Drosophila melanogaster: one gene and its partner. The protein of the gene in region 2 interacts with the protein of the main gene of each other region in a pairwise test. Each region holds a gene or a part of one and is shown on either strand. Other genes may lie near its edges.

Evidence for each region. Proteins that work in one complex are often made in the same cells at the same time.
Region 1: the proteins of fand (region 2) and C1GalTA interact in a two-hybrid assay, tested with the Drosophila melanogaster proteins (one large-scale study listed by BioGRID).

The regions. Positions count from the first base shown.
Region 1 is NT_033779.5:8,948,191-8,952,756, forward strand, and holds the start of C1GalTA (core 1 galactosyltransferase A), read right to left. Parts: upstream 3,027-4,566; 5' UTR 2,788-3,026; exon of another isoform or gene 2,580-2,787; intron 1-2,579. UniProt on the Drosophila melanogaster protein: Glycosyltransferase that generates the core 1 O-glycan Gal-beta1-3GalNAc-alpha1-Ser/Thr (T antigen), which is a precursor for many extended O-glycans in glycoproteins.
Region 2 is NT_033778.4:13,591,774-13,597,088, forward strand, and holds fand (fandango), read left to right. Parts: upstream 1-1,870; 5' UTR 1,871-1,952; coding exon 1,953-1,997; intron 1,998-2,055; coding exon 2,056-4,086; intron 4,087-4,149; coding exon 4,150-4,725; 3' UTR 4,726-4,784; downstream 4,785-5,315. Other genes in the region: S-Lap5 (Sperm-Leucylaminopeptidase 5), read left to right, coding at 5,049-5,315. UniProt on the Drosophila melanogaster protein: Subunit of the NTC(Nineteen)/Prp19 complex, which is part of the spliceosome. The complex participates in spliceosome assembly, its remodeling and is required for efficient spliceosome activation. Essential for efficient pre-mRNA splicing.

The DNA of each region.
Region 1 (4,566 bases), on a different chromosome or scaffold from region 2:
AAACATTATAACACCAGTTTGTCTCGTCAAAGATGTAGTACCTTGCACAGATAATAAAAAAAAATATTTTGTGGCATTGTAAAGCTTAAAAAATTCCCTCAATGTGTGTGTGTAGAACCCTTGACATAAAACGTTTACCTCATCATAACTCAAATAGATAAGCATAACTATATTTATGGGTTTTTCAAAACCAGCTTAATATTGTAGTTAAGTTTTCCCAAAAGTCAACTTATGTAGCTTAAATTCTTATTCACTATATATGTATAATAATAATAATAATCTAGTTCTTAACTAATTCATCGAGAGCGCGTAATGGAGCACCTGTTAATAGAAATTAAGCTAAACTAAATTTATTATTATGTCATTCAGTTAATAGAGTGCCTTTTGCTTTTTTGCTGCCCTATACTCAGACTAGCGTGACAGTCCATTCATCGTAATTTAAAAAAAAAAATGTAAAAACAGAATGGGCCAGAAAGACAAACTAAAACCAGAAACCAAACCAATTGTACAATTGTTTTGTTTGGCCGCTTTTCATCTGCGGTCAATAAAATCAGCCACGCTCTGCGATCCCGCAAATATTTTAATTCAGTTATTGTATTTTATTTTTGGAGCCCGTATAAGCAAAGTACCCTGTACTTAATGTTTTGGCTCTATGATTCTCGTTTTATTTCAATTCACTTTCAGTAACTTCCCTTTCAGATAAACAATACAGTAAGGACTGGCACAATGATGTCGGCAGCTGTTTATCAAAGTGGAACTGGACTGCGGAATTGTTATCAGGCACAAAAAAAAAACATGGCATTCGTTTTTAAAACTCTGTTTCTTTGTTCATCGTGTAATAGTACAATACAGCAAATGAAAATGGAAATATTAATATGATTCATATAACGAACGAATGAGAAAAGTGATTATGCCATTAGTTCAACCTTAAAGAATTCCATTCCTTAAAATTTTGTATACTTTACGGAGAGCTTATCTATAAGAGTTCTCAAGTAACTATTATTTTCTGTCCCAATGAACAATATCTATTACTCTGTTGTTCAAACGACATCGACAAAAGCAATGTATAAGAAGAAAAGTCGGAATGTGAGTTCTTAATTAAATATTGATTAAAAGGCTTTGCTGATAGATAATTGATTGCTGATTAATGAATAGGTATAGCGCTATTCACCTGAATCTCACGTGAAATGGCACCTTTTTGGGGCCATTGAACAATATTCTATAGTATAGCCCGCGGGGCATGGCACAGCTGGTTTAAGGTTATTGGGTTAGTCTATTCAAATTCAGATTTTTGGCTTTACGAAATAACACACATTTAAGAACAAATACACCCAATACAAGAAATAATACATTAAAAACTATTTGACTTGGTATTGAATATTTTTAAAAATAATGTAATAATACATTAAGTAAGGAGCTCTTTAAGGATCAGTCTTTTAGAGTCATTCATAATTATTAAAACTCATTTACTAGGTAGTTCTCTTCTGGAAAACGAAAACATGCTAAAAGTAGCATAAAGTACTATTCTTATTCAGTCCCATATGTTGCAAGGAGAGTTCATTACTTTGATGACTGATGGAAATGGCTACTGTTTTTTTACTTGAAGCAGGAAGAACCATATGTATGTTTATAGTACAAGTTCCAGCTTCCACTATCAGTTGAATTTGAATGGCAATCACTAGGTGCAATCTGCATATGAATTATCCCCGCAACAATAACAAGAGAAGGCTAATCAGAGAGCAGAGACGAGAAATACAAATACAAATGCACGCACAATAGCATGTGCTGCTCTCTCTCTCTCTGTCGAGATAAAAATGAGAGGGAGAGAAAGTGACGCCCACTGGAACCACAAATAAATTAAAGTAAATGCGTTTCGGCTGCAGTTAATTCACCCCCCGGATGCAAAAGGGAATAGAGGGGGAGGGCTGAGTGCATGGCAGGGCATAACGGAAATGACAACTGAAGAGAGCCGGAGAGCGAGAAACCAAAATGCAGCTGTTTGGGGAATGTCATTACATTAACAGAGACAACAACAACCACCAGGATAAGACATCACGAATTGGGAAGCCACTTCTCGCCTAGTTATCAACATATTCCTTTGTGTTTAGCGGGTTATTAAAAATACTCAAGACCAACGACCCTCAAACAGATAACATATTAGAGTTGTCGCCTTAAATGCCTCAAACACACTTGGAACAGAACGTTAAATTTAATAAATGCTGTACCTTATAATTTAAACTTTTTGCATTGATTTTATAATTTTTAGGCATAGGATCAGAGTTTACAAATATTTTAGGAATGGGGACCCAAGAGTTTAGCTATTTTTTTTATACTGTTCTCAATTCTTTTCTTCATTAGCTTTATTTTAACATCCTGCAGCAAGGGGCTTTGGTAGTGTGAGTGGCCGGACTGGAAGGAAAGGCCGTCAGGCAATTCTTCCTTCCACTTCCTTCTAGTCAATTTCAGTTTCCAGTTGGAAACCAATATATGTACATATGTATATTCTCGTGCGTTACTTGCCGTAACAGTGGCTTAAACTTGTTCGTTCTTATTGTTTTGGTTTTATTCACACTCTTCACCTTCGTTTGCTCTTCCTTGTCACGTTCTTCTTGCACTCTATGTACATACACCATATGCGCAATTGTATATTATATTTATTGCGCTTTCTGTTTTGGCACAAAACGCAATTTTTGCTGACCGATTAGTTTTCCGTTCAGGTAAATTCCGCACGCGTTTCATTTCATTTGATTTTTAAATCACCGTTTTTCGCGTCGCCCATTTACTTACGAATTGATTTTTCCTCACGCGTTTCTCCATCGCAGGACGCTCCCAAAAAGCTTTTAATTTCGCGATGAGTGCGTTTTATTCACAACTGCTTTCACGTTTTGCACATTCGCTTAATTGCTGTGTTAGTCGAGCCACTCGAAATATTTAATTAAACTTATTTTCCGCGCCCTTTCCTTGATTTTCAACAAGCGCATAAGTGAAGCAAGCGAACGCGCCGGACAAACAAAAACAACTGCCGCGAATTCTAAAACTGAGCACGAGCGAGAACGAAGAGAACAGAGTACACTGGCAAGAAAATGTTGAAAGTTGTAAATTAAAAAAATTTATGATTATGATCGAAGTTGAAACATAAGCTATTATTGCTGTCTAGTGCAATAAAAGTAAAAAATTTGAATTTAATTACACCAAGTATTATTAAATATATTATTTAAAATATCAGTTCCCAATAAGTATTTTTAACTATTTCATATTTAACCAGAATATAGTACAAATTAGTACAAAAACAAATAAATTTAAATATCGCAGTATACAAGTTATTTGTTTCTACCTGTGCAATCAACAGAATTAAGTGAGAGAACCAAAGCTCACTCTCTCTCTCTCTCGCTGTTCTTTTTATATGCTTGTGTCGGAAAGGGGGTGTAAACCGGTACCGGCTTTCTATAAAGAGCGAGAGTGATTTGAAAATTATAAAAAAAACTTCTATTAAACTAAAATATTATAGGTAAGATATGTAGTTTGTATATATAAGTGGTGTGACTTCGATTTATCAATGGCCTGTTTCTCTCATCACTCGCTACTAGTCACCATATATTTGGCAAAACAGCTGTTGGAAACTATCTTAAGGGTTTGTTTTTGGGGTTGGTTCTAAGATTTGTGTCCACTCTTTCGAATATTACTTTCTCAAAGAATGAATACAAATATATGTGCATAATATATAAATTGATAATTGTACGTCTGAAATATCTCCAAAAATCACAATCTAGAAAGGAAAGAATATAAAATTACCGAAAACTTGTTCAAATTTTGATTTTTGAAAATCATTAAAATTATGATAGGGATAGTTAGGTATGCTTATGAGCAGTATAAAACAGTGTTTTTTTTCGTTAGATGTGCCACCTTTTTTTTACCAAGTTATAGAGAAAACCCCGTTTAAAAATATAAGATTTTTGTATTTTTTTTTTTTTTTTTTCTAGTAAGATTTCACAAGCTATAAAAATAGTTGTCCAAAACCGTTATTAGAAAATATAACTAACATCAAATTTGAATGCAAGAAATTTTTTGCATTGTACGTTAAAAATTTGCGATATCGCAACTGTAATTAAACAAGTTATGTATACGCGCAAACTCGTTAAGAAACGTTTTTGTTTGATTCGTTATCTATTGTACATTAACAACCGGCTTCTGTGATGCTAAAGACTTCTAATACTTCATATTCGAAACCTGAACATAGACTACTTGAAAATTTATTAAGGTAACTCCATGTTGTCAGCCAAAATTAGTGAATATACGTTAAATATTTTTAAACCCAGAAATCGAAATTAATGCAATTGGTGACGAATGCCTTTAATAAATATTTATTGATGTGGGGCTGGTTAATGAGTTCATATAACTTTTTGCAATCGATCACTTCAGATAAGATAGTATTTCTTGTTAGCATTATCTGACAACTCTGATAAGGGCAAATTCTGTCTTCTAATTAGTGAGCAACGAATGAGAGTTCAGGAGTTTTTTAAACGCTACAGTCGAGTTTCGTGACTACCAGATACCCGTTACTCAAAA
Region 2 (5,315 bases):
GTGACGAATTTTTAGCACTTTAGATGACGGAAGATGGTTGGAATACGAATAATTTTATGCACTTTTATTATTAACTAGCGTTTATGCGTCGATGCGTTGCTTTGGCTGCAAGTAGAAATAAGAACAGAAGAGAGGAATGGAATCAATAAATGAGACTATAAAAAGCGGCAGGAAAGCTGCTTTTGGCCAAGAGAAGCTTTCTCCGAGCGTTTCTGGAATATTCGTTGAAGTGCAGTGGGTGGCTTAGGGGAAATTGTGGTCAGCACATTCTCATTCTCAGTGGGCAAAATATTGAATATGATATAATATTGTTAGCAGAAGTCATCTCAATATGATATTTTATAATTAGCAATGTTTTTAAGCTATTTTTAAGTGAATATGCTATGGTTTTTTCAACTCTTTTAGATTATTTACAATTTTTAGACATAATAATCATTTTAAAAAATCTCATTTGAAAACAACGGGCATTTTTAATTTTAAGAATTAAAAGTTTTCCTTGAAATAAACCCGAATCTTTGCTGGGATTTTAGCCAACTGAATTGATAAAGCTTTTCCGCTGGCAGTTAAAAAAGCTGCATGCGGCTCAAAGCTGCAGTGGTTTTAGCCGCCTTTGTTGTTGCTGTTGTTGCTGGCGGGCGGCTTAGTGTGTCAGTTTAGTGGGTGGCAACAGTGCGAAGAGAGGGGGTGGCAAAGAGAGAGATATTGGGCCACAGCCGGCAAGGAAAATCTAAGCGCTTTTCCGCACTTTCGTGTGTGTTTTCTGTTTACATTCAATACGGGAGGCCCTAAAATGCCCAAAATTTTCCCTCGGGCAACAAGAGCGAGTGGAAAATTTTTGAGAACCATCATAAACAGCTGTTCGGGAAGCGGGGAAATAGATTTTCCGGTGGTGGTTTTTTTTTACCTAGGATCCAGTCTAATTGGATTTACCTGGACCAATTGGAGTGCGGCGGCACACACAAGTTTGAGCCTGTGCGAAAAATATAAAATCAATGCAGGAACAAGTGTGTGCGAAAATATTTATGACACCCACCCACTCACACGCTCGCACACACACACTTGCAAGCACACGCACACGTGTGACGTGTTTTTTCGTGTTTTCCCCTCGTCTTTTACTTACCACTGTGCTTGGTTTTTCCACGGTCGTTGGGTATTACTTAAAACTTAATTCGATTGATAGTCGTTCTATGCTGAGAAATGTTTCAAGCGCGTCATTTTGATCTATTTTTATAGTGTTTTTTTCGATAGACTTTGATTTTTTGCCTTTGGCTGCCAACTCGCCTGCGCTCCTCACTCTCTTTGGCTCTCTTTTGCACGGCTGTGTGTGTGTGTGTGTGTGTTGGTGCACTCACGCAGTTGCCTTCGTTGCGTAAATTATGCAAAATGCAGGCCAATTGCAATGTGTTTACAAAAACAGAACAAACGATCGCGTTAAGTGTGTTTTTTGCGATTTTACGAGCGCGTTAACTGGTCTCTGCGAAATACGCAAACGGTATGAACGTCAAAATATTGGCAGCAGCGACGAAAACATCTGCAGATGGGCTTACGAAAAATTCACAAACTGAGGCCAGTGTTGGGCAGCGGACGAAGGGCGAAATACCAATTCAAAGGGAGGCAAAATATACCGCAATGGTACTCTAGAAAATTCACGATTGTTTTGGTTTGTCCATAACTTCAACGTTTAAATAAGGTGCACTTAGAAAATTCTAGATGTTCACAATTTGTAAAAAAAATGTACACAAGCCAAAGTTATCTTAGTTTTATGAACAATTTTTCTGTATTCTTAAAATATTGTTTACATGTTAATTAGGATTTAATTACTTTGGTATTAGCTGCGGTATCTTAATACCACTACTTTTCAAACCTTCTGGCAACGCCATTTCGATCAGCTGTTTTCGTGGGACGCGCATGAGAAAATTATTGTTTGCGGCATTTCATGAAAATCGCGAAAAATGGTGACAAAAACGATAAAATCTCTGAATTTAGAGATCAATTTCGTAAGTACCATGAAATATATGTAAATCACAACTAACCTATCAAGTTTTTCACACACAGGAAGTGGAGGATGTGCCGTATGAGGAGGAAATCCTTCGAAACGCCTACTCCGTAAAACATTGGCTGCGCTACATTGATCACAAAGCGAAGGCGCCGAATAATGGTGTTAACATGGTCTATGAGCGTGCTCTGAAAGAGCTTCCTGGCAGCTATAAGATCTGGCACAATTACCTGAGAACTCGCAGGAAGCAGGTGCGCGGCAAGATACCCACGGATCCCATGTACGAGGAGGTCAACAGTGCCTTCGAACGTGCACTGGTGTTTATGCACAAAATGCCACGTATCTGGATGGACTACGGTGCCTTCATGACCTCGCAATGCAAGATTACCCGCACCCGGCACGTTTTCGATCGGGCTCTAAGGGCTCTGCCCATCACGCAGCACGGCAGGATTTGGCCACTGTATTTGCAGTTTGTACGCCGCTTTGAAATGCCGGAAACAGCACTGCGAGTCTACCGTCGATATCTGAAACTCTTTCCCGAGGACACAGAGGAATATGTGGACTACCTACAGGAAGCAGATCGGCTGGACGAAGCTGCCCAGCAGCTGGCGCACATCGTCGACAACGAGCACTTCGTTTCCAAACACGGCAAGTCCAATCATCAGCTGTGGAACGAATTGTGCGACCTCATCTCGAAGAATCCACACAAGGTGCACTCCTTGAACGTGGACGCCATCATTCGCGGTGGGCTGCGTCGCTACACCGATCAGCTGGGCCACCTGTGGAACTCTCTGGCGGATTACTATGTGCGTTCCGGCTTATTTGATCGGGCAAGAGATATATACGAGGAAGCCATTCAAACTGTGACCACCGTAAGAGACTTCACCCAAGTCTTTGATGAATACGCACAGTTCGAGGAACTCTCGCTGAACAGACGTATGGAGCAGGTAGCTGCCAATGAGGCGGCCACCGAGGAGGACGACATTGACGTTGAACTGCGGCTCTCACGCTTCGAATACCTCATGGAGCGCCGTTTGCTGCTGTTGAATAGTGTGCTTCTGCGCCAGAATCCGCACAACGTGCACGAGTGGCACAAGCGGGTGACACTGTACGAGGACAAGCCCGCCGAGATCATCAGTACGTACACCGAGGCCGTGCAAACAGTGCAGCCGAAGCAGGCGGTCGGCAAACTACACACTCTCTGGGTGGAGTTCGCCAAGTTCTACGAGGCCAACGGACAGGTGGAGGATGCTCGTGTGGTCTTCGAACGCGGCACTGAGGTTGAGTATGTTAAAGTAGAGGATCTGGCGGCGGTGTGGTGCGAATGGGCAGAGATGGAGTTACGGCAACAGCAGTTCGAGGCGGCACTCAAGCTGATGCAAAGGGCGACGGCCATGCCAAAGCGAAAGATTGCCTATTATGATGATACGGAAACGGTGCAGGCGCGCCTTCATCGCTCGCTAAAAGTGTGGTCCATGTACGCGGATTTGGAGGAGTCATTCGGCACATTCAAGACGTGCAAAGCCGTCTACGAGCGGATTATTGATCTGAAAATCTGTACGCCACAGATCATTATCAATTACGGAATGTTCCTCGAGGAGCACAACTACTTTGAGGAAGCCTACCGAGCCTATGAGAAGGGCATCTCTCTGTTCAAGTGGCCCAATGTCTACGACATTTGGAACTCTTATCTAACCAAATTTTTGGAGCGCTATGGCGGCACAAAACTGGAGCGAGCCAGAGATCTCTTCGAACAGTGCCTGGATCAGTGTCCTCCCGAGCATGCTAAGTACTTTTATTTACTGTATGCTAAGTTGGAAGAGGAGCACGGTCTCGCCCGGCATGCCATGTCGGTCTATGATCGTGCCACGTCTGCTGTCAAAGAAGATGAGATGTTCGACATGTACAACATATTTATAAAGAAGGCAGCCGAGATCTATGGCCTGCCACGTACCCGCGAGATCTATGAGAAGGCCATCGAATCGCTGCCCGAGCAGAATATGCGCCACATGTGCGTTAAGTTTGCTGAGTTGGAAACGAAGTTGGGCGAAGTGGATCGAGCTAGAGCCATCTATGCTCATTGCTCACAGGTATGATAATATATATAGATTTCTAATGCATCACTTAATCTAATTATTGTTTGCATTCTTCAGGTTTGTGATCCCCGCATCACTGCAGACTTTTGGCAAACTTGGAAGGAGTTCGAAGTGCGTCACGGCAACGAAGACACAATGCGCGAAATGCTGCGCATCAAGCGCTCTGTGCAGGCCACTTACAATACGCAGGTGAACATGATGGCCGCCCAATTCCTGAGCACAAACAACGGAGCGGCTGCGGATGCTGGAGCAGGAGCTGGACCGGATGCCATGCGATTGCTGGAGGAGAAAGCTCGCCAGGCGGCAGCCGAGTCCAAACAGAAGCCCATCGAGAAGGCGGCCTCGAATATTATGTTTGTGCGCGGTGAGACTCAGGGTGGTGCTAAGGATAAAAAGGATACGGTCGTCAATCCTGATGAGATCGACATTGGAGACAGCGACGAGGACGATGAGGAGGAGGACGACGATGAGGAGAACGAGATGACGAACGAGAATCAGGCCAGTGCAGCGGTCACGAAAACCGACGAGGAAGGCCTGGTCATGAAGAAACTGCGCTTCGAACAAAAGGCCATTCCAGCCAAGGTCTTCGGCAGCCTCAAGCCCTCAAATCAAGGCGACTCTGATGGAGAGTAAATGTTTATACATATATATGACTTTTTTCGGGGTAAATACATGTATGTCGAAAGTTTTACAATTGTAATTGATCGGTTTTTATGTTCTGGCCTCAATTAGATTCTTAAATGGTACTTTGATATTAATTGTTGTCAAACGAAGGGGGCCTGTTAGATATTGTCTCCGTTTTGGATGATCTAGTTAGTATAGCCTTAGGCCAAACAGAGGAACACACTTTCAACTGTCATTCCAAAATTGTTAGGCACTTCGTGATCTAAAAAAGCTAACCAGACGTGCGCAAGGGCGGACTAACCAGGACTAACCACACACCGTGTATCTCGAAGATGGCATCCACACGCATGATCAGTGCTTTTACGCGCAATCCAAGATTATATCAACAGGTCACGGCACCCTGGAAATCGTACAATCTGTTTGGAACACCACTTTTTAACCACAGACTTCAGCCAGCGGATTCTCAAATCTGGAGGGGATTAGCAGACAAGTGTGACAACAAGACTGTTATCAAGGGCGTGGTGGTGGGCGTCTACTCCAAGGAGGGCGACGGTAAGGAGGTCAAGATGACGTCCAGCGGCGAGAAGTTCGACGACCGA